Arabidopsis thaliana: one gene and its partner. Each later gene encodes a partner of the first gene's protein in a complex. Each region holds a gene or a part of one and is shown on either strand. Other genes may lie near its edges. The genes, in order: RRC1 and DRT111.

Evidence for each region.
Region 2: RRC1 (region 1) and DRT111 share a complex: the UniProt entries of both Arabidopsis thaliana proteins name them as parts of the SWAP1-SFPS-RRC1 splicing factor complex.

What each region holds. Positions count from the first base shown.
Region 1 is NC_003076.8:8,630,733-8,647,880, reverse strand, and holds RRC1 (RNA recognition motif (RRM)-containing protein), read left to right. Parts: upstream 1-7,663; 5' UTR 7,664-7,896; coding exon 7,897-7,971; intron 7,972-8,085; coding exon 8,086-8,218; intron 8,219-8,393; coding exon 8,394-8,439; intron 8,440-8,695; coding exon 8,696-8,756; intron 8,757-8,857; coding exon 8,858-8,992; intron 8,993-9,112; coding exon 9,113-9,229; intron 9,230-9,320; coding exon 9,321-9,486; intron 9,487-9,834; coding exon 9,835-9,947; intron 9,948-10,129; coding exon 10,130-10,204; intron 10,205-10,600; coding exon 10,601-10,822; intron 10,823-10,898; coding exon 10,899-10,957; intron 10,958-11,060; coding exon 11,061-11,145; intron 11,146-11,250; coding exon 11,251-11,388; intron 11,389-11,532; coding exon 11,533-11,757; intron 11,758-11,841; coding exon 11,842-12,578; intron 12,579-13,047; coding exon 13,048-13,211; intron 13,212-13,372; coding exon 13,373-13,662; 3' UTR 13,663-14,052; coding exon of another isoform or gene 14,053-14,661; 3' UTR 14,662-14,745; downstream 14,746-17,148. Other genes in the region: ENODL13 (early nodulin-like protein 13), read left to right, coding at 126-306, 385-764; AT5G25080 (Sas10/Utp3/C1D family), read right to left, coding at 1,575-1,813, 1,901-1,981, 3,576-3,630, 3,729-3,784, 3,877-4,099; AT5G25070 (neurofilament light protein), read left to right, coding at 4,410-6,620; AT5G25050 (Major facilitator superfamily protein), read right to left, coding at 14,053-14,661, 14,746-14,916, 14,982-15,077, 15,161-15,420, 15,496-15,859. UniProt on the Arabidopsis thaliana protein: As a member of the SWAP1-SFPS-RRC1 splicing factor complex, modulates photomorphogenesis by regulating the gene expression and pre-messenger RNA (mRNA) alternative splicing of a large number of genes, including those involved in plant responses to light signaling.
Region 2 is NC_003070.9:10,782,057-10,796,335, forward strand, and holds DRT111 (D111/G-patch domain-containing protein), read left to right. Parts: upstream 1-7,965; 5' UTR 7,966-8,258; coding exon 8,259-9,128; intron 9,129-10,073; coding exon 10,074-10,367; 3' UTR 10,368-10,669; downstream 10,670-14,279. Other genes in the region: AT1G30470 (SIT4 phosphatase-associated family protein), read left to right, coding at 19-135, 279-373, 479-678, 1,054-1,151, 1,285-1,388, 1,465-1,633, 1,708-1,836, 2,147-2,229 and 4 more; AT1G30473 (Heavy metal transport/detoxification superfamily protein), read left to right, coding at 5,159-5,185, 5,273-5,351, 5,438-6,051; AT1G30475 (uncharacterized protein), read right to left, coding at 6,445-6,626, 6,857-6,932, 7,176-7,321, 7,577-7,663, 7,803-7,887; PHV (Homeobox-leucine zipper family protein / lipid-binding START domain-containing protein), read right to left, coding at 14,272-14,279. UniProt on the Arabidopsis thaliana protein: As a member of the SWAP1-SFPS-RRC1 splicing factor complex, modulates photomorphogenesis by regulating the gene expression and pre-messenger RNA (mRNA) alternative splicing of a large number of genes, including those involved in plant responses to light signaling, probably by helping in the 3' splice site determination.

The DNA of each region.
Region 1 (17,148 bases):
ACTTCCAACGGCTAGTTTCTCTTCTTCCCCTATATAAAGACCCAATCAATCACAAAAGAGCCCAAATAAGCAACATAAAATCTTTCTCTTTATCTCTATATAGCTCATACACAAACTTCATTCTAATGGCTCAGAGAACTCTTGTTGCAACATTTTTTCTAATCTTCTTCTTGTTGACTAATCTCGTCTGTAGCAAAGAGATTATTGTCGGAGGCAAAACCAGCTCCTGGAAGATCCCTTCTTCGCCTTCTGAGTCCCTAAACAAATGGGCTGAGAGTTTACGGTTTCGCGTTGGCGACACTCTCGGTCAGTTTTCTTTCCCCCAATTCATTCCAAAAATCAGCACTTTTCCTTTGAAATTTCTAAACTTCTGTATGTGAACAGTGTGGAAGTACGATGAGGAAAAGGACTCGGTTTTGCAAGTGACGAAAGATGCATACATTAACTGCAACACCACAAACCCAGCAGCTAACTACAGCAATGGAGATACTAAAGTGAAGCTAGAGAGATCTGGTCCTTACTTCTTCATCAGCGGCTCTAAAAGCAACTGCGTTGAAGGTGAGAAGCTTCATATTGTTGTCATGTCCTCTCGTGGTGGCCACACCGGTGGTTTTTTTACTGGTTCTTCTCCTTCTCCTGCACCATCTCCAGCTTTGTTAGGAGCTCCCACTGTGGCTCCAGCCAGTGGTGGCTCTGCTTCTTCTTTAACTCGCCAAGTTGGGGTTTTGGGATTTGTTGGATTATTAGCGATTGTTTTGCTTTGATTTAACCTGCTTTGTTCAACTTCTATCTCTGCTTTTTGATTCTTTGATCCACAAGATTTGTTGAATTCTTTTGCCTTTTAAATATTAATGTTATTTCCGAATACAAAATGCACCAACTTCAAGAGCTTTCCGAAAACAGTAACTAACACAATGCAATGTACAAACAGCATACACCACAACACTAACTAGGTCCAAAAATTTTAAAACTTGACAAAACCAACTTCTCTGCAATGTCGACGATGACGAATGCCACAACTACGTTCCAGAAAATGTAGCAGCAGCTGCAAAATATGAAGAAGAGAAAGAGTTGAAGGACTGAGAATTTACAAAGTAACGGATGCAATGCTTCACAAAGAGAAGAGAACTGAGAAGTTGATACTATCCTGGCATGTAGAGACAGAAATGGTGCTGAAAACTTCACGATAATCAGCAGATAAGTAACGGATGCAATGATCTACACGAAGAGGACTAAAGATGCTGATACTATTCTGCTATTTGTAGCCTAGGAGAGAAATCACTACAATGAACAAATCTTCCTTATTGGTACATCCTTTATATGACTCAAAGATATTATAATCATACCATGAGGAGAAGCAAATAAATCCCTAAGGATAACTCATAAAGAGACTATAGTTTTCAAAACAAATGGAAGGAAACAGTGTTTTCATTATGTGATCATAGTCATAAAGTATTAGGAGAAAGAATCGTTTTTTTTCCTTAGACATCCACCTAGTTGGCAATTCTAGAGATTTGCTTTCAGGTGTCAAAGATAATCAGAAGAGAACATTACCATGATATATTGGTAATAAATCAGGCTGTACCAACTTCGACATCATCTGAACCATCAGCTGCCGCTACTAAAGGGCCCTTCAAACCATTTTCATTGTGACCGATAATCTCACGAGCTGCCTTTTCAAGAAAGTCCTTCGCAGCTGACTGAACAGACTGTTTCTCATTTGATTGGTATTTCCTCTTTCTCGCAGATGTTTCAGAATACCTGATCCTCGATTTCTCTCCTTTACTGAGGTCTCTAATGCTTTGCTTTTGGGCTAGATTCATTTAGCAATGACTGTTAGAGAAACAATGATATACAGTAAAAGAGAGAGGTGGAAACAACAAACTGTACAAAAGCTTACTCGATGTAAGATCAGGTAGAGAATGTTCGATGAAACGGGTTGCTGCCTGACGGTTTAAGACAGTGGTCGGGCGCAAAGGTCCTACGGTAAAAAAAAAAAAGAGAAATAGATAAGAGAACATTTAGAGGATAAGATATTGATTAGAGGTAGCCATTCAATGTCTAACAAAATCGAAATGACTACAAAATTTCCTTATCAGATAAACCAAACATCAATTAGACAAGTTAAATATGAAACGATGTGCATGAAAAGAAATACTTTCGAGAAACTAAGTCGAACTAGTCGGCCCATTAGTACCCGGTAGCATATCGACAAAACGATTCTTGCCCGAAAGGCCCACGAGTCATTTCACAAAAACGCAGAGCACAAGTGTTACCAATTGAGTAAGCACTTTCTAAACGGAATATAAAAGCTCGTTGATAAACAAAGATAAGACACTAGCCTCCAAAATTTGAGATAGTAGACAAGAACAAATGGATCTTCCACAATAAGAAAAAACTTCGAAAAACATCGCGAAACATTAACATCAACAATGAGCCACAAATAAATTCAAATCAAATAAGTTGTCTAAATGGAAGTAAATCTTGACAAAACAAAGTTGAAACTATCCACTTTGATTTTAAAGCTATTCAACGGAAAAACAAATACAGAGAAACTAGATCACGAATCAGTCTCCCTAATTTCATTCAATAGACTACGAGAGGAAATCTCCTTTCAATATAAGATGATAGGTAGATGCAATAGTAAGGTGACTAAAAGATAAGTCCAGAACAATGGATTAGGCGCGATTCATTATTAGAAAGCCTTCCAATGGAAATACTACTTCCCTGCATTTAAGATGGGTACATGCAATAAAGAGTCTTTCAACGAAAATCATCATATCTACCAAAAATAAATAAAATCATCACTGAGCATAGAACAAAACAAAGAAAACAATCTAAAGCAGATACATCATCCCAACAAACAGAGGATCAGAAAAGCAAGTCCTCGGAAAATGTACTAATCAACGAAGAGGTTAGCACCTATCTGCCTAATATTAAGACTGGCTAAATAAATTCTAAGCTGAGAGCAAAATCCTTGAACACGGTTGAAATATTATCCCCAACAACTTTATAAGGTAAATGGATGCAGCAATTCTCCAATGAAAAGAGAAAGCCTTCTAATGGAAACACTACTTCCCTGCATTTAAGATGGGTACAAGCAATAAAGAGTCTTTTAAAGAAAATCATCATATCTACGAAAAATAGTATCAACACTAAACATCGAACAAAACAAGGAAAACTATATAAGGCAGATACATAATCCCAACAAACAAAGGATCAGAAACGCAAGTCCTCAAAATGTACTAATCAACAATAAGGTACACAGAGGATATCATTTAACGCTTAAGAAATCGTTAGCACCTATTAGCCTCTAAAATTACGAAAGGCTAAATAAATTCTAAGCTGAGAGCATAATCCTTGAACATGGTTGAAATATTATCCCCCAACAAAGGTAATTGAAAGCAGCAATTCTCCAATGAAAAGAGAAAGCCAAAAAAACTTGCTTAATCCACGAGACAATACAATGGCCAATTCAAACTGAAACAAATGGTTTAAACCAAAAGACACACAGAACCAAACAAGTTTTTGATCTCTCTACAAATCAATCCAGGCACCAGAAAATCAATCTTTACCTTTACTTTGATCAACACACTTCTGAAACTTCTCTCTGTACACGTTTATCCGCTCCTACAAAACCAATACTACCATCAATCAAACAACAAAAGATACCATTTTGATTAAGTTAACAAGATAATAAGAGAACTAAAACATCCAAAGACACATACAATTTCAGATTTTACACGATGATCATCAGGATCAACACCAGTACATCTCAACCTCACTGTAAACACACAAAACAACAAAAAAATTCAAATTTATCACAAACAAACAAACTTCAATCGAAACAGATTCACAAAGAAGAAAGAGTGTTACGTTCGTAAAGAGTAGTGGTGGCTTCAGCTAGCAAGTGCATAGTCTTAGCTCGCTGTAATGGTTGCATTGCAGCGAGAACCTCTGGCTCAGCTAAAGTCAGCATCTGCTCAAGCTGTGGCTTCAGTTCCTTGAGGTACGCAAGTGTTTGATTCACCGCTTCAATCGCTGATTCCGGAACCACTCCTCCAGCTCCTCCGCCGCTACTTCCTCCACCTCCTTCCATCTTCAATCGAATCGAGAATTTGAAAATTGAAAAATCCGGCGTAGATAGACTCAGAGGTAAAGAGATTAGGTTTCCGGTTAGATTCTCTGAGTCGCCGACAAGTGTTGAAATTTTTATCTTTATGGAGATGAAGAGGCGCTAACACAATCGGGAAAGAGTGACGTCAGCATTATCAAATATGGGCCGTTAATAGGCCCAAGACAAGTCAAACATTTAAGGCCCATTAAACTAGTGAATTTATTTTTATGAATTATTAAAAGGTTTCAAACTCAAATGTAGATCAGATCGGTGATTGATCAGATCGGCGGCGATGGATGGTGGCGACGATATGGATTCCCTGTTCGAAGGGATGGAGCTTTTTACACCGGCGTCTCAGTTCTCCGGTGACAGCAAGGTAAGCTCACCGCCTCAATCTGAAGAAACCAAGGCGGCGGAGGCGACACTGATCACGGCTCCTTCTCAACCAGATGTGACGGAGGCGACACTGATCACGGCTACTTCTCAGCCAGATATTACGGAGGCTTTGGACGAGAATCTGTTTTCAGACTTAACGATTGTGACTCCGGTTCAACACCAACCTGAGCCGATGGAGGCAGTTATCACTACTCATCAATCTCCGGCGAAGAATTATGGACGTCAGGTGTCACGGAGGAAGAAGAGAGCGGCTGGATTAAGAATTGGATACGGTAGGCACGAAACCAACAATCTCGACGAAGACGAAGATGATGCCGTTAGTCAACAATCCGATTCCGTTAGTCAAGTATCAGATTCAGTTAGTCAAATATCTGATTCCGTCGCGCAAGTGTTTGATTCCGGTAATCAATCTTTAGACTCTCCTGTTGTTACTGTGGTTGTTGGTAATGGTAGCTCAAGGTTGGAGTTAGTTAAGGCTCAGATCGAAGCGAAGCTAAATCGTTCTCGTGATTTGGCTGCTTCGGTTACTTCTGCTCGTAAGAATGCGATTAGGAAGAAAAGGCAAGCATCTGAGAATCTCAGATTAGCTTCTACGACGCACGAAGAGCTCGAGAAGCAGCTTGAGGAAGCGATCGAGACAGAGGATTTCGATGCGGCTGAGAGGATTAGCGAAAGCCTCGCTGCTAAGGAAAGAGATAGGCTAGCATTGTTGGCATTGCTTCGCCAAGCGGAATCTGATTGCGATGCTATTGAGTCGAAAATGGAAGAGGTTCTTCTTTCTCAGATTGCAGCTGAAGAAGAATCTGCCTGTCTGCTTCGTAGTTTTGGCACGGATGCTGAGAATGATGCTGGATCGATTCTGGAGAAAGCAGAAGCTTTTTATTCAGATGAAATGGAGAAATGGCATTCATGTTCTGAAGATGTTGAGGTTAGAAAAGTCGAATTGGATATAGAATCTGTTGTTGTTGATAACGTTCGGTTGTCGTTGAATGGTATTCTTGAGGGATCTGTTGAACAAGATATGAAAGAGAAGGAGATACTGCAGAAGAAGAAAGAACATTTGGCAAATGAACTTGAGGAGCTGCTTGCTTTGGTGAAGGCAAAGGAGAAGGAGATTGACGAGAACGATTCGCAAATAGAGGCAGTTGAGGAAAGAATTAACAATGTGGTGACTGGCTTCAAGGAATTGCAAACAAGTATGGATAAAATGTTAAACGATGTGCAAGCTGGTCTCACTGAGGTTGACAAGGAAACTGAAGATTTATCAAGGAAGAAGAAAGACGTGGACGAGTTCATGACATCTGAGAAGGAGAGAGGAGCCAAACTTCGTGATCTTGCCCGTGTTTCAGCGGATGAAGCTTGTGAATATGAGGAAGTTATTAAATTGCGGAAAGGTTTGATGTCATATGTGTCTAAAACTAGAGAAGAGAGAGCTAAGCTTGTAAATATCGAAGAGAAGCTTTCTGAGGAAGTACAGAAGCTACAAGAGGAGGTTTCCAGTACCCGAGAGTTACTTAAGGAGCGATCTTCTAAAAAGTCGATCATCCAACAGAACATTACATCTTTCATGGATAAAATTATGTTCATAGAGAAAAGGATGCCGGAGCTTGAAGCAGAGAAGAAAGTGGCTGCATCAACGAGAAATTTTAAAGAAGCTGGAAGAATAGCTGCAGAAGCCAAGTCTTTAAATTTAGAAAAGGATAAGACACAGATGGAAACAGGAAAAGCTAACGCTGAGCTCGAAAAAGCAGAGCATGAGATTGAAGAAACCATCAAGAGGCTACAAGAGATAGAGAAGTTGATTTTGTCGAAAGAAAAAGAATTGGCTATTAGTAGATTCCAGAGGTTGCGGATTGACAGTGGAACTGCAAAAGCTGAGAGATCAGCTGCTCTGGAACTGAGCGACCTTGAAGAAGCTAATCTTCTACTTGAGGAAGCGCAAGAAGCAGAATCCGAGGCAGAGAAGCTTAAACTCACAGGCGGTCTCAAAGAAGAGGAAGAGGAAGAAGAGAAAGCAAAATCTAATGAAGTTTTTGTCTCGATGGAACTCATAGCCACCGTTGGTCTGAAAAAATTACAAGAACTGGTGGAATCTGTTCCATCTTAACTCTGAAACTGCTTCAGGTTCAATCCTAGGGACTACAGGAATGTCCTGAATCATCAAGGAAAAGAACCGAATGGTTGGTTTTGTAAATCTATCAACAACATTAAGCTCCATAACGCAGTCCACGTATATGGTTTTTGTTTGGTTGTTTTTGGGATCCATGTGTTGATCGATTTGGTTGTTCAAAGAAAAGAGAGAAAGCTTATTCTATTCAAAATGTTACGAGGATAGAAACACCAGGAACTTTTTTTTGTTGGAATATACTTTCTTTGTTTCTCTGTTTACTTTAGATCAAACTGTTGATTTGGTAGGTAAACATTGTTGTCTTACTAGTCATTGTAATTTAAAAATTGTAAACTTGGCTCGTTATGGCAATTCTGTTTTGAATTTTTATTTGTATTGGACTTGAGTAGTCTTATGACACCTCTCCGTCGAAATGTCTGGCTCTCGCTGTAAGTAACAAAGTGGGATGTTCTTGGATGCTATGATTTTACATAGAGAAGTTGAAGATGTTGATACCATTGTGGAATTGTAGCCTAGGAAACCACTATAATGAACTTTACTTCATCATCATCTGAACCATTCTTAACTAAGATAACCAACTCTAAATATATGAAAATATTCTTTGTGGGAATAATATATAAAGATACAGTTTATGTAAAATTTTACTTACTCCAAATCACTTCTAAATATGTATTTTCTTATTTATATCACTCTCTAAATCTCTCTATTAAATAGAACGTTAACTCTTTAACCTCAATCTCAAATTTCAATTCTTCTAGTTATAATTTATAAACAACAGCAAAAAAAATTTTGTTCTATTACAAATATATGTTAACACTCATAGTTATTTTAAAAGTTTTTATTTTTGAAACAATATATTCTTTCCAGTTTATAATAAATATCAATTTAGATTTAAATTTTGTTTATTATCATTTTTTGTATATGTAACTTTTTAAATTTATTTATCAAAATTTTATGCTTACGCAATAATTAATTTAAAATTCCACAAATTCTTAAAAGACGACTGAAAATACAAATATTTTATCCTAATTATTATTTTTCCCTATCTCCCGTTTTTAGCTCGTCTTGTGTTCTCTCCTCGAGCCCTAGCTCGCTTCCTGATCAATCGTCACCTTTCTCGATTCATCCAAACCCTAGTTCCGAATCAGAATCCATAGTCTTCGTATCTTTCTACTTTGATCTTTCTCAATCATCAATTCGGCTTCTCTGTTTCGTTGGGTACAAGTTTCCCGAGGAGCAGTTGGATGCTGAAACAATGAGTTCATTCTCGATCACTCGTAAGAAAACACCATTCCAGAAACACAGAGAAGAAGAAGAAGCTAGGAAGAAGGTGAGTTGAAATTTTCAATCGATTCATCGCTATTCCTGGGTAGAATTTGAGAAATTTGTTCATCGGAGATTGATTTGATTGATTAATCGATGGGGTTTTCGATCTTAATCGCAGAAAGCAGAGGATGAAACGGCTCGTTTGTATCAAGAATTCGTGGAATCGTTTCAAGGGGATAATGCAACTACTAAGACTTTTGTTCGAGGTGGGACGATAAATCCTGGTGACAAGCCTAAGGTTGATTCTGAAGGTTAGTCTTTGCAAAGGCTACACAGCTTTTTAACTGTTTGTTTACAATTGCTTCTCTCTTTGTGTGTACTTTGTTCTTTTTGATTGGTGTCAAATGGTTAGAGCAATGCTTTGATTATATTGGGAACGCATTAATAAGTGTATGGACCTTTTTTCTATGCGTTCGCGGATGGCAGGTGAAAAGTCCAAAGATGGGGGTTCGGTTTCAAAGAAGGGGAGTAGGTAAAACTGATTGCTTTTGATTGAATCAATCTCGCTTTGCTATCGTAGATCGAAAGAGCTTGGTCGCTCGTGATTTTGCTGATGAGTTATACACTTTTGATATGTTTGTTACCAGGCTTGAGTAAAATATTATTAATCATGTATTTGTAACTAGCTGAGGTCTTAGGAATGATGTTCTTGGGTATTGCTTGATAAGTTGAAATTCATTCGTGTATTCTTGTTATATAGAAGATTATCGTCCACTTAATCTTTGTAGGTATGTTCCCTCTTTCCTTCCACCACCACTGGCATCCAAGGGTAAAGAACCGGAGAAGAAGGTCAGTAGCATGGATTTTGTCACTGTAATTCTCTTGTTCATTGGGTTTGTTGTTTGAAGCACAATTATTTAGTTGTAAGTTCATTTATTTCATCTTTCTAGAGGGAGGAGGAGAGGCCTAGGGAAAGAGAAAAGGGAAAGACTCGAAATATAGATAATTTCATGGAGGAGTTGAAACGTGAACAAGAAATGAGAGAAAGACGAAACCAGGATCGTGACCGTCAGGGCGATAGCTCGGTTAGTTCATTATACTCTTGTGCTCTCTTCATCATACTCTTTTGCTCTCTTCATCGGTGTTCTGCTCTCATATTTACTCTGGACTCCCGGCTTTCTATACTAAACTTATTCTGTATTCAGCCATCTAGCCGCTTTGATGAGCTACCTGATGATTTTGATCCCAGTGGGAGGCCAGGATCGTTTGACGATGGTGACCCACAAACTACGAATCTGTATGTTGGGAATCTGTCCCCAAAGGTGTTTTTTCTTTTCTTACTTGGATCATATGTTGTTTTCTCTCGCCATTGTATTCTTAATATTCATAAGGTATAATTTTATGCTCACGTAGGTTGATGAGAATTTCCTTCTGCGCACTTTCGGAAGATTTGGGCCCATAGCTAGTGTCAAGATTATGTGGCCAAGAACAGATGAGGAGAAGAGGCGACAAAGAAACTGTGGCTTTGTTTCCTTCATGAATAGGGCTGATGGACAAGCTGCAAAAGATGAAATGCAAGGTTAGCTAGCCTCTCTTCTATCTAGGACTCTCTATTTTAGCCTTGGTTAGAAATCATTTTCTAGGTAGATGCAACATGTGTGATATATATGAGAGATTAAAATGGATAGTTGAACAAGAAACGTTTTAGGCATATTAGTTTGAGTACTTCAGTTCAACAAAATTTGATTGGTTTCCTTGTTGATCGAAACATATACCCAGTGGTTGATTAATGTTGGAAACTAATGACCCTTCTGGCATTATTGACTAGTCTATCTGTCTATAGTCGACTGGTTTTGTACTAACTATATACCTGATTGCATGTGACAATGTTAAAGAAAGTTATGAAGGAAAATTTCCAATTTTACAGGGATCATCGTGTACGAGTATGAACTGAAAATTGGATGGGGTAAAGCAGTTTCTCTACCGTCACAAGCATTACCCGCTCCACCACCTGGACATATGGCTATTCGGAGTAAGGAGGTTTGTGATGCATCCTGTGCTGCTCTTCTAGATATATTTCTTCTTTAATTCTGTTCACTAACCTATGTATGGCCCGATCTCTGAATTTATTGGTATTTCCTTGCCATTTTTTGCATAAAAAGTTCTGCCAGTTTTATATCTCTTTAGTTTAACTCTAAAAACTTTAAATATTTCATTGGCAGGGCTGCAACTTGGTTTTTTCTGGTCAAACGGGTCCACCGATAATAACTTCTGTTCCAAATCAAAATTCTGAGCTGGTATGTAAACTTGGTTCCACATGGCTTGAATTGGTTCTTTATAAGTTCTATATGATATTCGTGGAAGGCTTTTGAATTACTTTATAGTCCAGAAATGTTACTGTTAAGTTTCAGAATTGATTGTCTTTATTTCTTAAAGTAATGAAAGACAAAAGCAGAACTAAAAACCAAACTTGGGATCAATTCTATTTGTAGTGCATCCTCTACTTTCCAAACCCCCAATGGCACTAAACCAGTCCCCAGATACTTGAAACTTCTCAGTACTTAATGCTTCTCTTGTTTGTAATGATACTGATTCAAGTAACTTGCTGATACGGCACCTATAGTTGACGACACTCTTACAGCTGCCCGTCTTTAATAATCTTAATCCATATGTACTTCCGTTGCATTGAACAGGTTCTTACCCCTAATGTTCCGGATATCACTGTTGTTACCCCTGAGGACGAGCACCTCAGACATGTCATTGATACATTGGCACTCTATGTTCTGGATGGTGAATGTGCTTTTGAACAAGCTATCATGGAGAGGGGCCGTGGGAATCCACTGTTCAAGTTTATGTTCGAGCTTGGCTCAAAGGAGCATACTTACTACGTCTGGAGACTATATTCCTTCGCTCAGGTACATTTTGATTGCCTTTTAACTAGGCATATATTTGCATTGTCATAAGCTGATTGAATATTTTTGCATTGTTTAGGGTGATACACTTCAAAGGTGGAGAACAGAGCCGTATATCATGATAACTGGTAGTGGAAGGTATTGAACCTTGCCAACTTTGAAACTGATCCGGGTGTTCGGTTGGTTTACCTTTGCATATGACATCTGTTGTATTAACACTGTCTATTTGCTCTTATTGCAGATGGATACCGCCACCACTGCCTGTAACTAGGACCCAGGAGCACGAAAAAGAGTCTGCCAGCACTTATGCGGCGGGAAGAACCAGAGTAATCTTCTTGCACTCTTACTTCTAATTTATTTATTTCTTTTTCTTTTGTTAGCTAAGTTGTTCTTTTGGTGTGCGGGATACCTGACACTGTTAAATCTTACAGCGTGCGGAAGTTGAGAGGACTCTGACCGATCCTCAGAGGGATGAGTTCGAGGACATGTTGCGTGCTCTTACTTTAGAAAGGAGTCAGATAAAAGAAGCTATGGGTTTCGCTTTAGATAATGCAGATGCAGCTGGAGAGGTACAATATGTTCTGACTTATATATTTCAGTACATTTAGTTGGTTTTTTCTAGACACCACAAAAAATTTGAACAGAACTACTCGTTAATAAAATAGATATTCATATGCCTCTTCCTACTTATATATGTGTACTTAATTCCACAGGTTGTTGAAGTTTTGACGGAGTCCCTGACTCTAAAAGAGACATCAATTCCAACCAAAGTTGCTAGACTCATGCTTGTGTCTGATATTCTTCATAATAGCAGTGCACGTGTTAAAAATGCATCTGCATACCGAACCAAATTCGAAGCAACTCTACCTGATATAATGGAAAGCTTCAATGATCTGTACCGAAGCATAACTGGAAGAATTACTGCTGAGGCTCTAAAAGTACTGTCAGAAAGAAAAATGATCGTTGATGGTTTTCATTCCCTTATAAATATACTTTTCTAAACTCTTTCTGACTTTTTGCAGGAACGGGTTCTCAAAGTACTGCAAGTATGGGCAGATTGGTTTCTCTTTTCAGACGCATACATATATGGACTACGTTCCACATTTCTCCGATCAGGAGTCTCTGGTGTTACCTCATTTCATTCTATCTGCGGTGATGCACCTGAAATAGAGAACAAAAGTTACGCTGACAATATGAGTGATATTGGAAAGATAAATCCAGATGCTGCACTGGCAATAGGCAAAGGAGCTGCAAGGCAAGAGCTGATGAATTTACCAATTGCTGAGCTTGAGAGGCGTTGTCGGCACAACGGACTGTCTCTTGTAGGAGGTAGAGTAATGATGGTTACCCGGCTACTAAGCCTTGAAGACACAGAGAAACAACGCGGCTATGAAGCAGTGGATGAAATTCCAAAGCATCCGCAAAACCATTCAACTTGGGAAGAAGTTAAGAGTGAGCGGGAGCATATCAAGAACAGCTACGCAGAGGTTGAAATGAAAGAGCCTGTGAATCTACCCACGACAATACCAATCCCACAGCCTGAGCTGAAAGCCTTTGTGGGAAAAGAGAAGAATGAACTCATATTGCCAGCTTCAAAATGGGCGAGAGACGATGATGAAGCTGATGATGAACAAAAGAGGAGCTCCTCTTCAGGAAGTGACAATACTGGTGGGATAACTTTCAAGGCCGATGGCGAGGATCTCAAGGGAAATGATTGTGTCCGTGCCCAACCTGACAACGGAATGGACGAGGAACAAAGGTATGATCAATGCATCTCTTTATGAAAAGATATTAGGAAAGTAACTTAAGCAAGCAAAATATAGATTAAAAAACACCAATTTGCATTATTGCTTCATGTTGGTGCTTGAGCATTAAAAACAACAAAGAATTCCTCGAAATAGTAACATCAGCGTAAGGGTAGTTTATGTTAGTGAGGGAGGTGTGTTCTTGTGAACTTCAATTGATTTGGTCTTTATAGAGTACACATTATTTTGTATTTTGGCTCTTACCCGGTTAAGTTGGATAATTGAGAGCCATAGAAAGCTTTTGGGCATATGCATCAATTGTATGTACCCAAATGTGCCTTACCTACCCATACATGAGCTTGCACCAATACTGTTAAAGTTAACAAGAAAATATGAGAACTTACTTTCAGTAGAAGTTGCTATTCAATTGTATAATCTGAAACTCAATAGACTTCTCCCTTGCTCTGTTTTTTGTTACTGCAGACAAAAGCGGAGACGCATAGAAGTTGCTTTGATAGAGTATCGTGAAACTCTTGAGGAACAGGGGATGAAAAACCCCGAAGAGATAGAGAGAAAAGTAGAAATAAACAGAAAGAGGCTTGAAGTCGATTATGGCTTATCAGGACCTAACGAGGGCAACAGAAATCGTAAGTTCTTACTTCTCACCCAACATACACATACTCTTCTTTTGTTTTGGGAAAGGTTGTTAATTTGCTCTATTTCCATTCGATGCAACAATGAGTGAAACACTATTAATGCGTCTCAAACACTATTAAATTAGGTATTCACACATTGATTTTAACTGCAGAGAAATCAATAATAGAGCGGAAGGAGAAGCGTGAAGATTCACAAGAGTCCTCTAAAAAGCGGCACCGTGGGGAAAACAAGAGCCAAAGTCCGCCACGGAAATCATCAACGAGGGAGAGAGATCATGACTTGGGGAGAGACAGGGATAGAGAGAGACACAGAGACAGAGATAGGCAACATGATTTGAACAGGGATCGAGATCGACGTGAAAAGAGTTCAAGCCACGATCGAGACGATAATGATAGAAGCAAAGAGAGAGACAGGGATTGGCGCAGACGAGGCACGAGATGATAATGATGATTATGCTTGTTCTCACCTCATGGTCTGTTCTCAAGATTTTAACCTTTTGTGTTTTTAAATCCAGAAGATATTGTAGAACTTGTTCTCAGACACAGCTTGTAATTTTGTATCCCAATTTCTGAAAGATTTCTCACTCAATTGTTTCTTCTACTGGATTCTTGTTTTTCTTATGGAACTATTTTAGAAATGTAAGTAGATTAGGTAGGTCCCCAAATTCACAAAGAATTGTTTCTTCTATACCAAAAACACACAAACTTGTTATGCATTCAGAGAAAAATGTAGTGTGTGCCTTTTGCACTTTCCAGAAGTAAAAGTGAAGTTCGGCAAAACTGCTGAAAAACTGAAGCATTTGCTTCAAACACTATAATAAAAGAACACTAGCTATCTTCTATCAACAGAGTGAACAAGAGAAGCCAATTCCAAATTCCGAGTTCCTTCTTTTTCATCTTTCTCTTCGTCCGAATCTTCGCCCATTATCTCATCCGGGAGCTTGAACGTGTTTTGATCTCCTTTAGGCACAAGAAACAGAAAACAAAGCGGCAAAAGTCTCATGACATTCCTGACCAAAACCGCAAGCCACAGGTTACCAAACTCAGTCCGAGTCACCTTGAGGACATGCAACATTATCCCTCCAAGCCAAGATGAGGTCATGAGGCCTGCATTGTCAATTGACATTAGCAATGCAAAGAACGTCCCTTCAATTCCGTGGGGACAAAGCTTTGAAGTGAGGACAAGCAGCGGCATCCATTTCAAGCGTCCGATCATCTGAGAAACTATCTCGTCCACTACTATGAAGAGATAATCCGGTAAACCAAATTTTAAGTTGAGACGGAACACAAGAATGAGGTCAAGCATTCCCGATAGAGCAAAGAGAAGTTGAGTCCACAAACAAAGTCCGCGGAACGGATGATCCTTTAGGACTAGTTGGTATAACGTTGCTGCTAGAATCGATCCGATTGAACCAATGGAGAGAATGAAACCAACTGTTTCCTAAAACAGACCAGGTAGGTTCTTCAGCATATTACTTATTTTGGGGTGAAGTTTGAAAATAGAAACTATTTGTTTTGGTAATACCTGAGCAAACAAAGGACCATCCTTTGAATCTGTGAACCAATAGAAGAGACCTTCATGTATGTTCAAACCAAGAGTAAGGGAAATGTACATATACAAACTCGGCCGCCACACATCTGAACACTTCATTGTCCTCCACATCGCTTTCCCTGCATCGGTAAATTTCTGGTTCACCTGAAATGATACAACAAGAGTCAATACCCTCATGATCAAGCTACCAAAGAGAGAATAATTATTACCTGTTTGTAAGAGAAACCAGGAACATGGGGCTCACTAAACACGATCCCGACTACCGATACTAACGCGAATGGGAATGTCAGCAATCCAAAGACACCCTAATGTCGCAAAACAAGCCAAATACAGCATTAGAGAGGAAACACAAATGAAAAAGATCATAGTAGACAGACGATTCATTAACCTTAGAGCCAACAAGATGAACTAAGATGCCACTCATAAAGAAACCAAGAAGTGCTCCAATGGAAGAGCTTAAACTGCATAAACTCTGCATATCCGATGCAAGAGAAGGATGTTTGATACTATTGTAAGCAGTACAAGCATCAATGGTTACATCAGCAATCGCCATTGCAGCACTTGATATTGTCATCCAAAACAGTGCCAAGTAAAGGTGTAGATTACTATGCAGTGAAATAAACAACAATGAAACCACTCCAAGCACCCCTACAAAAACAGAGTTTTGTACATTTAAAAGAGAAATCAAAGAGACTTTGATCGAAATTTCGAGCGAGATTTTACCTGCTAAAATGAAGTAAGGACGTCTATGGAAACCAAAGATGGGAAGAACATCAGTGAGAATGCCCCAAAGTGGTTTAATGATCCATGGAATCTTAGTGATTGCAGTGAGAGCTTGAGATTCAGAAGGCTGAACTTTTTGAACATCTTTCATATAATACTCTGTAGCTACACGACCTAATGAGCCACCAAGCCCTTGGTTAATTCCATATAGTGAGACTACACCAAACACAAAGCTCCAATGAAGCTCTGAAGACAACATCTTTAGCCACCGTACAGGACCACACACCACATTACGGAAATTACTTTCTCCTTTGACCACATGTACGGATCCGCCGTTTTCAAGGCTTTGCTCTTCTACTACCATAACTTGCAAGGAGGAGAAAGATTCAAGATTTGGCTCTGTTTTGAGCTTAAATGTTGAAACTTTTGATATGGGTTTGGTCTGAAAAACAGATCCGAGGGGCGAGGACAAGAGAGTTGTTTGAAGTTGGTATGTCTTGGATTGGATTGAGCTCAGATTATTAAAAAAAGGATGAATCTTTTGATGTAAGCAAGTCAAAAATCAAAGATTTGGGAATCAAATATGATGAATCTTGAATTAAACTCAAGAAACAAAAATGAAATTTGCACACATTCGTTGACCCTGTTTTCGTATGAACAACAAATGACCATTGAAGAAGAAGAAGAGAAGAAAAAGAAAATGAATAAAGAAACTAAAGGATAAAACTTAGATCAAGAGAGACGAAAGGAAAAGGTCAAAGCTTTTGCTGCTAAATGTTTGACCAGAACACACATCTTTCTTTGTCTCTTACTAAGAACATTCTTGTCTGTTTTCCTCTGCTTATTTTTTGCAATTTTACCTCAAAAATAGAAGCTTTTTATAGAATTTATAAGGTTATTAATTCAATAGAAGAAGATGAGTTCTTTGTTAAATGGAATTAAGCTTGGTTTTGCATCAAAGTCACCATATTACTTCATCAATACTTTTGACTTTTCTTTCTCTACATAAGAAGAACCTTTTTCGTTGTTGTTAAAGGTGAACGTAAGAATTTGTAATTAAAATTACGTAACTTTAAAGTATATTAGAGAATACAATGTATCTGAAAGAATTTGATTTATGTGTATAAGTTTTCTAATTCCAGTATTTCCCAAAATAAAATAAAATCCAAAAGCTTTTTGAAGAGTCGCCAAACAAAGGAACAGAAGTAGTTTTGTTTGTGTTTCTTAACCTAGTATATCCTCTTTAAATACGTGTTTGGAAATCGTTGGGTGAAATATAGATCTTGTCACCACTACTTCTCCACTGATCATGAAATACCAAAAAGCCCATTTTCATTTCTTTATAACAAAAGTAAATATATATATCCCAGCATTTTGGGATATTGTTGTCACCTTTATTGATAATTTATATAGACTTAGACAAAAGCTTGCCACCAACTACTAACTGTTGTTACTCTTTATTATATTACTTTTTTTATTTATTTTATAAAATACTTGAAACTGATAATCTACATGTACGTTTTTGTAGATTTTTAGCCAAAAATTCTTAAAGTATTTAGTATTTTCACTTTCAGTCTTTACAAAATTCATCTGATAATACTACGGTGAAATTATAGAATTAAGAAATAAAATTGTATAATCTTAAATACTTAA
Region 2 (14,279 bases), on another chromosome or scaffold:
TTATTGCTTGGTGCTTAGGTTTTAAAACGCCTGGTTGGTACTGATGAACACCTATATTCAAACTATACAAGTGCAATGCAGTGGATAGAAGATACGGATGTTTTAGAGATGATTGTGGACAAGTTTGGCTCTTCGGTAAGTTTCATTCAGTTGCATGGATTACTTTTGTTTCAATAAGGGCAAGTCTTCTGGCTTTCCTCCTTTATTTCAGATTTATGCTACCATTCAATGCATTGCTATCCACTGATATCTTGGAGATTTTTGTTTTATTTTTGTAGGAGTCTCCCGAGGTACATGCCAATGCAGCTGAAATTCTGTGTACTGTTGCAAGATACGCACCCCCTGGTCTTGCTACAAAACTTTCCAGCCCCAGGTAGACTTTCTCAGCTTTGGCTATTATTTTAATGTAGTCGTTGATACTGCTTAAAATTTCTAATTAATTGACTTCTTACTATGATTCCTGGACACTTTTATGCAGCTGCACTGGAAGGTTGTTAAAACATACTTTAGAAGATTCACGGCCTAAGTCTGTTCTGGTTAATTCGTTATCTGTATGCATATCTCTACTCGATCCTAAGAGGTTTACACTGGGCACTTATCATATATATGGTCGTCAACTTACCCATGGAAGCATGGTAACTAATCCCGAGACAGTTGAGGGAATGCTTGGAAGCCTAGGTGAGCAAATACAGTATGGTTATTAAAGATTCTTATGTAGTTCAGTAGTTGTACTTGTGTGTTGTTGTGTATTGACTTCTTGAATGCTATATTCCCTATTGTGAAAGATGGGGTTGGGTTGGGAAGGAAGAATACTGGGTTTGTGGGAGTCGGAACCTACAACCAGATTTCTTAAGCACATTTTTTGCTTGTTGGTATGAAAACTGGTGAAACTTTATATTTTTTCCTAATTGTGTAGAGACGTGCTAGACGCTTGTTGAGGTGCAAGACAATCATCATGGCATTTTACTTTTCCAAATGAATACTATGTGGCTTGCAATGTTAATTAGTATCTTGGCTACTATGAATACTATGTAATAGGTTTCTACTGTGCAGGTGATTTACTTATGCTTTTGAATGTTTCATCTGCTGAGGGTGTTTTGTTAACAACGTATGGCAAGTTGCAACCACCTCTTGGAAAACACAGATTAAAGGTACTTTATTTTTCTCGTTTGTGTGATTTGTTTTCTAACTATGATGTATCTTTCACTAGATGGTTTATGATTTGTAATTTCTGAACTACATTTGTTCAATAGACGAAAATTTGAATTTATTTATTTTTCCTAGATTGTAGAGTTTATTTCAGTCTTGCTCACTGTCGGTAGTGAAGCAGCAGAGAAGGAAGTAATTCGACTTGGAGCGGTGAAAAGAGTGTTGGACTTGTTCTTTGAGTAAGTAGGAAATTTCATTTTCTTAGTTGATGATATGCAAACTGCCATGCTAAATTGTGATGCAATTGTGTCTCAGGTATCCCTACAACAATTTTTTGCATCACCATGTGGAGAATGTAATTCTCTCATGTATGGAGAGCAAAAACTCTCAACTTGTTGACCATCTTCTCAGTGAGTGCAATCTTATTGGGAGTATACTAGAGGCGGAAAAGGACTCCACATTAACTGCTGGTGATTCTGATAAGGTGAAGATACTTAATTGCTAATGTCTGAGGTTGGCATCATTATTTATTAACTTGGTTTACATGCGATGTCTCAGCTTCAGCCTACAGTCCCTGCAGAGGGTAAAAAGCCACTCAGGATTGGAAACATCGGTCATTTGACTCGTATCTCCAACAAACTTCTTCAGCTAGCTAATAGCAATGTCGAAATTCAGTCACATTTGCAGGTATACTACAATTCTGTCTTATGGGATTTAATAATTTAGTTACTTGCCACACATTCATGTACACATGCAGATATGAAGTAGAACTGGTTTGCATGAGTTTTGGATGAGAATATGACATTTCTTAACATTTTATAGAAGATCAGATGGCTTAAACAATTTTCTCAGAGCTTTATCCCTGTTTTACTTCTCCCAAAGATATTTCCTTGATAGGATGTTTGGGTTAGAGGGGTTCTAGCCTTGTAGGGTGCTGGTCTTTAGTATCAAACTCTTGATATTTTGTTAATTTTTGTCTGCTACGATTTTTTACCAGGAAAATAGCAAATGGGTGGACTGGCAGACAGATGTCTTGTCGAAGCGTAATACATTGGAAAATGTCTACTCTTGGGCCTGCGGGTATGTATTTCTTTTCTCTTATAGGGAGATAATCTAGACTTAAAGAAACCTTGTGACACCGGCTTCTGTTTTCAAATTATTACCAAAGGCATGTATACTTAAAATGTATTTTTCATATAGAAGTTTGTCACATTAGTGTAATTTTCTTTTGATTTAATAGCAATCAAGATATATGATAAGTTAAATGTGATTGCACATTCTCACTAGGTGGCAATAAGAGCTTGCTTTTGGGAAGTTCTTTAGGGGGTGATAAATATTATTTATGAGAGGCAGTAGTGATGGTTGGTGCAGTATATGGATTAATTCTTTTTATTGATATTGCTCTTAACAGGAGGCCTACTTCACTCCATGATCGTAGTAGAGATAGTGATGATGATGATTACCACGATAGAGATTATGATGTGGCAGCCCTAGCAAACAATTTGAGCCAGGCTTTTCGATATGGAATTTACAGCAATGATGACATGGATGAGGTGATGTTCTCGTGTTTCCTTTTCATAGCTGCTACGTGTGACTTTTCTTTGGAAATTAGTATTATCCAAGATTTTGGCCGCATATTTCAATAAGTTTTGGAATGTCATGGGTGTAGACTGTTTAGTCAAAGGAGGGAATTGATTCAGGAATTTTCTTGGAATTCATTTTTATTTATGTTAGCCATCCTGTGATAGGTCCTGAAATACATAGTGAAATTGGATGCAATACTGTCTAAAGTTTTGCTAATGTATTGGACCACTGGGGTGGATCCAGTTACCAAATCTCTGTATTTGGTGGATAGTTAAACCGTCATTTCTTTCTTCAATCATTCTGCTTGGTTGACCACTGGATAGATATAGCATTGGGGGTTTCAGACCATCTTCTCTTCCTTTATTATCTTTAATGTAGCCTAGAAGTAGCTTGGATAAAGTCGGTTAACCTGAGCAACTAAATTCCGTCAGAGCTTTTGATTTCATTGCATTGTTTTCCTCATATCACATTGTTCTACCATTAACATATCTATATTATCCACTGCAGGCCCAAGGCTCTATGGAACGCGATGATGAGGTATTGTTCGTCTTTTCCTTATATTTAGGAATTGAGGCTTGACTTCCATTTGTGGAAAAGTAGGTTCAAATTTTTAACGTCTTTCATTTGCTCCTTTCTGAGAACTCGCTCAGCGGCTCCTGTGCCTGTTTTTATAAGCAGCCAATATGGAAGCTTTAGTGATATGGTAGATATGAAAACCTCTTATGAAGTCTATGTTGCAGGATGTCTACTTTGATGATGAATCTGCAGAAGTCGTCATATCCTCCTTGCGCCTTGGAGATGACCAGGAGAGGTAATCGGTTCAACTGTTTTTTCCTGGTAGAAATTAATCCGTTGATTCGCATCATATGCTTGAGCTTGATGTGGTCCCTTAACTTACGAAATATAACATGGTGTCGTTGCAGTGATTCTCTCTTCACAAATTCAAACTGGTTCGCATTCGATGATGATAAAGCTGCGAATGAGCGCTCAATGACCTCAGCTGCTTCCCCTTCACCCAATGCTGATGGAGATGGTGAAGATGATGATGATGTCGTCATAGGCGAAGCCGATGAATTCAACGCCACTGCAGCCTCTTCTCCACCTGTTGATATGGAAACAGAGGATTCTACATCAAAGCATCCTTCTGAAAACCCGAGTGAACCAGAACCTGAAAAGTCACCTGCTTGGGTTGAGTGGAGAGAGACCTCTGAGTCCACCGCACCACCTTCTTCCAACCCAGAGGAGACTACCATATTGTCCAATGGTGATGTTCAAATTGAGAAAGAGGATAATGATGATGATGATGATACTGATAACAAAAGTGCAGTGAAAACACCAGGTGTACCTGGCGATGAAACCACAGAGAAGTTACCAGATGAGAGTGGTGTTGAACCCACTGAGAACTCACCAAAAGCTAGTGGCATTGAACCCACAGAGAGCTCACCAAAAGCGAGTGGAGCTGAAGTAACTGGAAACTTGAGAGATTCCGATCCTGCTGAATCTCATGCGGATGCTAAAAGCTCTGAACCTGAAAGCCCTCATGGGACAAAAGAAACAGAGGTTGCAGCAGAAGCAGATACCAAAGAGACCGAAGAGGCTGTGAAGGAACCAGAGAAGGTAGTGTGAGCTTTTTACTTAACCGGGGGTCTCTTTGACTGATAAAACAAAATTTCTTCTGGTTTAGTTTGATTAAGGGCTTTGTCTGTTTTGGGTACAATTTATTATTCTATTTTTTTCTTTTCCTTGTTTGTTTACTTCATTGTATCATCTCCAAATCCGGTATTTTTTATTCAACATTATTGTCGACCAAAATTTGTTACTAGCTTTTCATATTTTATTAGTATAATCTTTTACCTCAGCTAGACTCATCAAGTGTCTTGTAAAGTTGTTGCTATTAATTTTTCACTTGTTCCTTGTTGTTTGATGCTTCTGTCGTGAACAGAGAAATCGATTCTGTCATCGCAACAAGAGCAAAAGTCTTTCGAGTAGACATTGTATATTTCGGAGATCTTCATACCAAAACTCAAAAGAATTGAGAGCTTGGTCTAGACGAAAACCAGACACAAAAATTTGCATCATGAAAAACACTCAAAGAATCTTTACATGAGATATCTGAGCTTGAGTTTGGATATTAACGTTGGCAAATCTCCATTGTGGAGAATTGAAATACTAAGCTTTCATTATCCTCCAGAATCTTCAAATATACATCAAGATATGAAAACAAACAGTAATGACTAATCATCTACGTCAATAAATGTATCATTACCTTAACTTATTAATGGAAAAGTCTGCTAAATATGGAAAGTTTATTGATTCTCTCCCTTGCATATATAAGATTTAACGATGCCTATGTACAATTTCTTTTTCTCCATCTAGTTACATAGTTTAGGGTTTGCTTCTTCTTCTTTTCACCAAGCTTCCTTCAATGGCGAACCCAAACCAATCCGTCCGGGTACTTCTTCCCGTCTCTCAATCTTTCAATCTATCTCTCTCTCTCTGTTTTTCAGTTGCTAATGATTTTCTGTGTATATTTTTGCAGACGTGCATACTAAAAGTCGATCTAAAGTGTTGCATTGGTTGCCAAAAAAAAGCAAGCATGAAATTGCAGAGTATCTCTGGTAAAAAATACTTCAAAGCTTTTAATTGCGTGGCTCATATGTCTTTAAACATGATGATTTAAATACTTTGTTTCCAATGGAAATAGGTGTAGAGGAAGTGGAGTATAACATCGAAAAAGGGCTCATGACAGTCAGAGGTGACGTAGAACCCATGGCTCTGGTTCGTAAACTTAATAAACATGACAGAAAAACAGAGCTTTTCTCAGTCAAGTACCAGCTTGATGATGATGATCTAAACAGTGATTCAGAAGACTACTCTTCTTCTGACTCTACTAATTCATCTTATGATCCTAAACCCATGGAACGTCAATTCCAAGAGAAGATGATGCAGCAGAAGAAGAAGAAGTCTGGGATACTAAAAATGCTTTCTCTTTTATGGTGTTTCAGCAGTAAATCAAAAGTTGTTCAGCCTTTACCGATGCGAAACCGAAACTGGCATGTCCCATCAAAGTTTGAGAATGTTCCTCCTGGCTTTGGCTTCAATTCTACTACATCGTCGCAGTTGCGGCCTCCGCATCCAATGATGCCCTATCCACCAATGATGCAACCACCAATGATGCAGCAACAACGACCACTAATGATGCAGCAACAAGCACAAGTTCCAATGCCACCTAATGTTAACATGTTCCAGTCAGCACCCCAACCGTTTAAGATGCACCCTAAGTTGCATTACGGGGAGCAGAAACAGGTTGTCACCTAAGCTACTTGTTCTGTTGATTATGTCTCTGATACATATACTAAGCAAAAGAATTGTTTTTAAGTTTCGTATCTTTTGCCAATTGCCGATAGTGAACATTTCTCAAGTCTGGCAAACTTTTAAAACAAAAGAACAAGGGTACATTTTGAATTCATTTATGTGTGATTCTCTGCATCTCCCAAACCTGGTTCCATAAACATTTGGATAAGATGAGCTTTGTTTGTGTCACGGAACAAGAATCTCATTCATAACCCAACAGAGAAAACATAAATAACAACTCAAATCTGTGCCTATTGCTAGTACTAGAATCTATTGTTTTTGATACAGAGATTTCTCTTGGAGAATACTTGTCTTGAGATTTGTCTGTTGTGCTTGTGCATCATGTTTTCCTCCGATTTAATGGTTGTTTTCATGTTCGCCCTCCAAATCTTTCAAGTATCCCATGAACAAAAGAAACCCGAAAAGGAAGAATCCACCTGAAGAGCTCCCTCCACCGCCTCCGCCACCACCACCACCACCATCATCCCGAGGTGGGAACCCGTTTCCACCGTCATCAAGCTTTGGGGATTTAACTTTTCCTGATATTTAAGTTAAGGCTAAAAAAATAAATTCTGAAGATACAAACAAGAATAGACCAGTCCGTTTCTGTTAAAGCACATTCTCAAGAATAAGAACCATAGCAAGCCACAATTTGAGTTCAAAATAACTGTTTCATATTAGCTAGAATCGTATGGTTTTTTAAGCCCCTCTTGTTTGTTAGAAACGCAAAATAGTTGTTCAACATAGAGAAGGGGATGAAACAATTTACCATGAGTAGGAGCTTGTGTGATTGTTGGTGATTGCCGTGTAACGGTCTGTGTTTGTCCTTGACTGCATTTTGAATTCTGCAGAAAACAAATCAGAATAAGTAAACAGCTAGCGTTTCAGAGACACTTAGGAAGAGAATACCGGAAAATAAACTATTATCGGCCATAAGAGCAAAAGGATCTTGTTCATAAAACAAGCAAAATGGCTTATGATGTGTAATTAAGTTATGTGAGCAAAATGGTGTGTGATGAAGTTATCCCAACAGCTAAAGATTTAAAACACTTAAACTTAAAGGCTGCAAAGTCATGAATGGAACCTACCAGCGCAGAGTTACATGCAAAGACTGGTCTTTTATTCTTAGAGACGACAACTGGTTGCACTGCATCCTGGAGAGAAGGGAATTTACTTTGGCTCCAAGGCTGGCGTTGCATAGAAACGCTTGTAGGATAACGCCTTTGAGAGTTTCCTATTACAGACAGCAAGTAGAAGAAGAGCTTTAGAATTCCATTGTTCATTCAATAAAAGCAAGCTCGAACGATGGGACTAAAGCAAGAATCAATGCTACAACAACACTCACTAAAGCTCTGAGATATCAATAACAACAACAAGTCTAGTTTCTTCAATTTGTCAAGAGCAATCCAAACTCAATTTCAAAGAATTTTCCAAAGAAGCAATTGTAAACTTAAGAGCCAACAAGTGTTGAGATTTAGAAGAGACATACCATTACTCGTAAAAGATTTCTCACGAGGAGCGAGGTACACCGATGTTTGTGTACCAATACACAATGATGGATTCATTACCGGCATAACTACAAACAGCAACAAAACAATAATCTTTAACCTATTTCACAAGGGAGAAAAATAAAAAAAAAAATCAATTTCTCATAAATCGAATAGAGAAAAAAATTATGGATTCATCAATTTTGAAATTCGATTAATGATAAAAACCCATAGAGATTTGGATCAAAGCAGGTAGATTTTTTGTCGAGGAAAAATTTGGGATTTTGGTTGCTCCTCGAAGCTTCTCGATCATAGAGGACGAAACGCAAATAAATAGTTTATAAGAAGAACAAAAAAGATGAGGAACGTGAATCGCACCTGAAGACTAAAACGCAAAAAGACGGAAAAAACAAAGATCTTTCTTAGGGTTTATGTAAAATTCTCGCACAAATCAATTTTAAAGCGTTGGCTTCTATTGCAAGAATCTAAATAGCCCAGAAAATAAAATAAAAGGACAAAATATTTCTCCTTTGTTTGTCGGTTTTTTATTTTCCAACAAAATGATATTTGTTTTATTTATTATTACTAAGGCTGATCGGAAAAAATTAAAAACCCTAATTTGAGCAGATCTTTCCAATTGAAAGCGAACCGTGAATTTTGAGTCTCTTTACCGGCGGCGAAAAAATGCTTGGTGGATTATACGGAGATCTTCCTCCACCGACCGATGATGAGAAACCCAGTGGAAACTCCTCTTCCGTCTGGTCAAGCAGTACCAAAATGGCTCCACCTACACTTCGCAAACCACCAGCTTTTGCTCCCCCGCAAACAATCTTAAGACCTCTCAACAAACCTAAACCTATCGTTTCGGCTCCGTACAAGCCTCCTCCTCCTTCGAATTCATCGCAATCGGTGCTTATTCCGGCGAACGAATCAGCACCTTCGCATCAGCCTGCATTGGTTGGTGTGACTTCATCGGTGATTGAAGAGTACGATCCAGCGAGACCTAACGATTACGAGGAGTATAAGAGGGAGAAGAAGAGGAAAGCTACGGAAGCTGAGATGAAACGAGAGATGGATAAGAGAAGGCAAGAGGATGAGGAAAGAGATAAGAGAGAAAGAGAAGAGAGGGAGAAGGAGAGAGAGAGAGATAACAGTGATCCGTCTCGGTTGAATATCTCCGGTGAGGAAGCGTGGAAGAGACGCGCTGCTATGAGTGGTGGTGGAAGTGGTGGGAAGGGAAGATCTTCGTCTCCGCCGGGGAATGTTGATGGGTTTAGTATTGGGAAATCGGAGACGAGTGGGTTAGGAGTAGGAGCAGGTGGACAGATGACAGCTGCTCAGAGGATGATGGCGAAGATGGGATGGAAACAAGGACAAGGGCTTGGGAAATCAGAGCAAGGGATTACTACGCCATTGATGGCTAAGAAGACTGATCGTAGAGCTGGTGTCATTGTCAATGCTAGTGAGAATAAATCTTCTTCGGCGGAGAAGAAGGTTGTTAAGAGTGTTAATATCAATGGTGAACCAACCAGGGTTTTGCTTCTTAGAAACATGGTATGCGTTTCAATAACATCTCTTATCAGCTTATGGATTCTTCAGTTCTTGAGTTTGGATGCCACAGTCTTAGTTGAATCAGTATTAGTAGGCCAAAGTCAATTTAGAACTTATTCAAATCAAACGTGTTGTTATACTAGGACACACTTTGCTACAATGATTTAGAACGGTCTGTTAGAATGATATTAATGTATTCCAACATTTGATGTGGTCTTAGTTAAGAAATTGTTACTGCTAATTGTTGGCAGCATGTGAGGGCGTAGTATTGAATTACGGTTGACAAAGATGTCTCTGTGGAAATGGAATTGAGTAATGGGATGCCATTGGAAAGTAGGACCTTTTGTGACTATGTTGATTTTTTCAAGCTATCGTGAAGTTAAAAGCTTTGGCAGTTTTGTGATGATAATTCTTTGTTGGTGAAGCTTGTAGCTTAGAGTGTTACTTATGTTATGGTAGCCTAGTACACTGCTGGATTGTTATAGAATTTAGATTGCCTACTCTTTGGAAACAACAGTTTAAGTTACAGTATCTTTCCCTCAAATAGTCAAATAAGCATTTGGAACCGTACTTTGGTTTTTGGGGATAGCCTAACCTGAGGCTTTAAGCTTGGATTGCCAAATACTAGAGAGTTGACAAATGAATCCGTAGGGGTTGGCATTTGATGAAGTAATTTTTATGGTTCTTGGATTACTGTAATAACTCGCAAGATCTATTCTTTCTGTGTTTTTTTTTTTCATTTCTTGACTAATTTTTGATGGAAATTCCAACCATGTAGTTATTGGTATGTGAATGAATGCATCTTCACATTGATTGTCATAAACGTAGGCACATTCTTGTTATTCTGATTGTTTTCACCATAACAAGTACTTGTTGGAAAAATCGTATCTTCCTTGTCTCATGTATCAATTCTGGTTGACCCATCACCTGTTTTCTCTGTGTCTGAAGGTTGGGCCAGGACAAGTAGATGATGAGCTAGAAGATGAGGTAGGAGGCGAGTGTGGCAAATACGGTACAGTCACTCGTGTACTGATATTCGAGATCACTGAACCGAACTTCCCTGTACACGAAGCAGTAAGAATCTTTGTTCAGTTTTCAAGACCCGAGGAAACAACTAAAGCCCTTGTAGACCTCGATGGGAGATACTTTGGAGGAAGAACCGTACGTGCAACGTTCTATGATGAAGAGAAATTCAGTAAGAACGAGTTGGCTCCAGTTCCAGGTGAAATCCCTGGCTATTAATAACTCCTAAGACAAAGAAGAAACTTCATCTTCTAGGAGATTCTTGTTAGAGAAAGAAACCATAGATGAGGTTTTAAAAACATTTGTAAAGTACTTAGAAATCTTGGGATTATCTCTTTATTGTTGTTCAAAGTAGCTTCACAAGGATCAAGAAATGTTCCTGCTTTTTCTGTCATGGTTTGATTTAACATATGAAATAGTCACAATCCAGTACTAATGGGTCATGAGACAATATAGTAACAAAAAAGACTAATGGGTCGAGTGTATACGATTCGAGTTAATATCGAGTTAATAGAATTTGGGCTACTAGGCCCAAAATCGTTGATTTCAGGACACAGAAATGTACAAACTTTTAATGAGAAGAATAGCATCAAAAGAGTCTTCTTATATGACGAAAAAAAAGAGTCTTCTTATATTTGATCAAAAGATAAATTTCATAAATAAAAACGTAACGTTTATTCATTTTGTTGATTGAAAAATTCTCTATAGTCATTTTAGTATGATCATCATTTTTATTGGCACCTAATTTCTCAAGCACTAATTATAGGAGAAGTAATATTTTATGTATATTATTCACTACATATATATCAGTCAACATAAACAAACGCTTACAACAGTACTCAATATTCAAACAAAAATCGAAATCATTGTACGGGTTAATTTGTCAATGTTACAATATGTACAGCTTAAAAAAAGTAAAACGACAATGTATCATCAACCTGCAGGAAACGGAGCACCGTATCATGAAAAAATCAAAAGTATTGCTTGTTTTGGTGCTGCACAAAATTCAATGTCCTAAAGCTCTCAATCATCAAACCTACATTTACATTTTCAACACCATACTTTAATAAACTTTTATTCAAAGTTCAAAATATTACGAATAATTTTGGACCTATATAGACCCCTCGTGCATTTACACACTTTCAAAGTCACTATCTTGATATCTTCCCTTAATTATTACAACAACTACCAGAAACACAAAACAAAAATGAAAAATGAAGCAGATCACTGATAAAAAACTATTCAGAACACATGAAACGAAAATGAATGGGTCAAATAAATTATAAGAAATTAAATGGGTCAAACTGACATTATAGCCAATAAGATATCACTGCATTACCCAACAGTTTTTGCTACTGCTTACCAAAAAAACACGAAAACTCTGAAATAGTGTTACCCTAGTTTCAAAACTCTGGAGTATCGTAAAATTTCTTTTGTGAATAACAGAAAAAAGAAGGAAAAGACAAAACGCAAAAGACAACACAATAAAAGTTTTATATTGTAGATCCTGTAGGTTCTGTTTTATACTTGTATGCATAATTGCACTTATTAAAACTATATGGCTATCTATTATTCCCTAATTTCAATTTACATAAAATGCCATATTCATCATGACCGGTTCCATCGTATCGAGCTAACAAATTATCAGTCTACACTTATAAATTAAACACGTGATATGTGTTCGGCGAGTCTGTGGCATTACTTTACGTCGACTTATAGTATAGTGGCATTATTTTGTATCGGTGAGTCAGAAGTACATAGTAACAAAATTATTTTGTAGCAATACAAACTTAGTTGTTAAATTTTGAATTAGCGAAAAAAAGACAACAAGCCAAATTAGCTCATCTAGGCTTTCCACAAGAGTTTAAATACGCAGCCAAGCAGCGAAATTCAATTATTTATGACTTTGGGAAAAACAAAACATAGGCAGATGCATACATATGATACATATATATAAATGTGATCTAGTGTCATACCTAGTGAGTCGCAGTGACCAAGACAAAACCATGCATGCATGCAAGTGGCAGCCATCAGCCATGTGCATGTGAGTGTATGTACATGTAACATGCTTTGTCACGAGGATTACGTATATGTATGGATGTTGATAATCTTAAAGTTTCTAGATTTTTGGAGTCGGTTTCTAATTTTCATAGGTTTGATTTAAAATCTCTTTTTAAAAACTATAGCAACCAGATTCCGATTTTGTGCCAAACAAATGACATCTCAAAATGTTCATGTCAGTAAGTAAATGTTTGATAAAGGTTCCATTCGTATAAACAATTATATTTAAAATTACAATCAAACAAATTCTAAAAAGAGGTTCACTACATTCAACAACAAAACTCCTTAGCAAAAAATATGGTTTTGGTTTTGGGATGACAAGAAAAATCATATTAAAAAAAATATAACATTTCTTAAAAAAATTTAGAAAATATATGGCTATAAAACTCTGCAAGCTACAAAGGGAAAAATATTATTTAATCAATTGCTATAAGAAAGCATTTTAATTTTATGAAATATGCACCAGAGCTTTTTCTTTACCGAGGTTTAGTGGTGGCTTTGGTTACACATAAATATTATAAAATCAGAAAGTCAATGAGCTATAACCGAAAAAAAAAAAACAAAATGAATTCATATTCATGAATGATAATTTGATCCCTTCCTTAAAAATCAGTTTAATCTCAGTTTGATTCAAATCAGTCTTTCAGTTTCTGTAACGGAATTAGACATCTTCAGTAATACTCAAAAGTATATTTTGTTTTGCAAGTTTGTACATACACAATTCTCTTATCATATGAGAATTTTTTTTGAATATATGGACTGCATTTTTATAAATTCTATAGGGATTAAATGGGTGAGAAATAATGACATCAGCAATGTTGACTAAGGAGGAAGAAGGCAGAATCGGGTAAGGCATTTCCTTACACAAAGCCAGATCTGTCCCAAACAGAATCACTTCTGTCTTTTCACCGTTCTTTTTTTTCACAACACAAAATTCAACTTGTATGTTTTTTTTTTTTTTGCATGAGCCCCCACATTCACATTCATCACGCAGCGGTCAAATCACCCGCCCCACATTTTCATTTATTGATCTGTTTTTCATTATCGTTTTCTAGTTAATTATTCATTCATTAGGTTAAGTAGTTAGTACTAGTGTAGTAGCTAGTTCTGGTTTTCAATAGTTTTTACGGTTTGATTATGGTTGGTGTGTATCATTCATCCGTAAATGGTAAAACCTCGATCGATTTACATAACTCATGTAGACAGCGGATTAAAATAGCTGTCCTTAGACTTAAAAAATTCTGTTATTGGTTATATAAAAATATTCCACCATTTTCTTTAAATTATGCTGAAAAATGATAAAAAGAGATTGTACATAAATAAAACTTCCATATTTTTGGTCGGTATAAAACTTCCATAAGAGTTTTGTAGGTTTCTGTCCAAAAGAAAAGCTATTTATCAACTTCCATTACTAACTAGACTACCCAAAAGAAAAGTTTATAGGTTCCTCCAGCCTAGAAGTCAAAGAACAGCATCATCATGACTAGTTTTCTTGTGATAGATACTATTTCAATTTAATAGATAAATACTAGTAATGATTATTGATCATTTAATGTCAAAGATTCATTCAAATCTAATCTTTTGGATGATTATTATTTATGCATACAACCTAAACTCCGCATACATTTTTCATGTTACATATGAGCTACCAAGTCCATTAAACGTTTTTTGCCAAAAACTATGATGATTAATTTAGTTTATTCGACATGCTTTTGAGGCCAATCTTTGTGTTTATATTTGTACATTAACACATGATAAAAACTTATAAGATTACTAATAATAATTCATCTTATATCTATCTATATATATATATATATATATATATATATATATATATATATATCAAATTTCGTAAAAGGAAGATGAAGAAAAACGAAACAAGTCCAAAACATAAATAAAAATAAATATCTTGCCATACATAATGTCATAATTGATTAAAGAGATTATCATCAGAATTTTTCCATATTACATATAGAGTTATGGACTCTCTAATTCAACAAACCTTAGCCAAAAACAACATCCCCTAACTTTTAATATCTAACATAACCAACCTTTTCCTTCATCAAACAA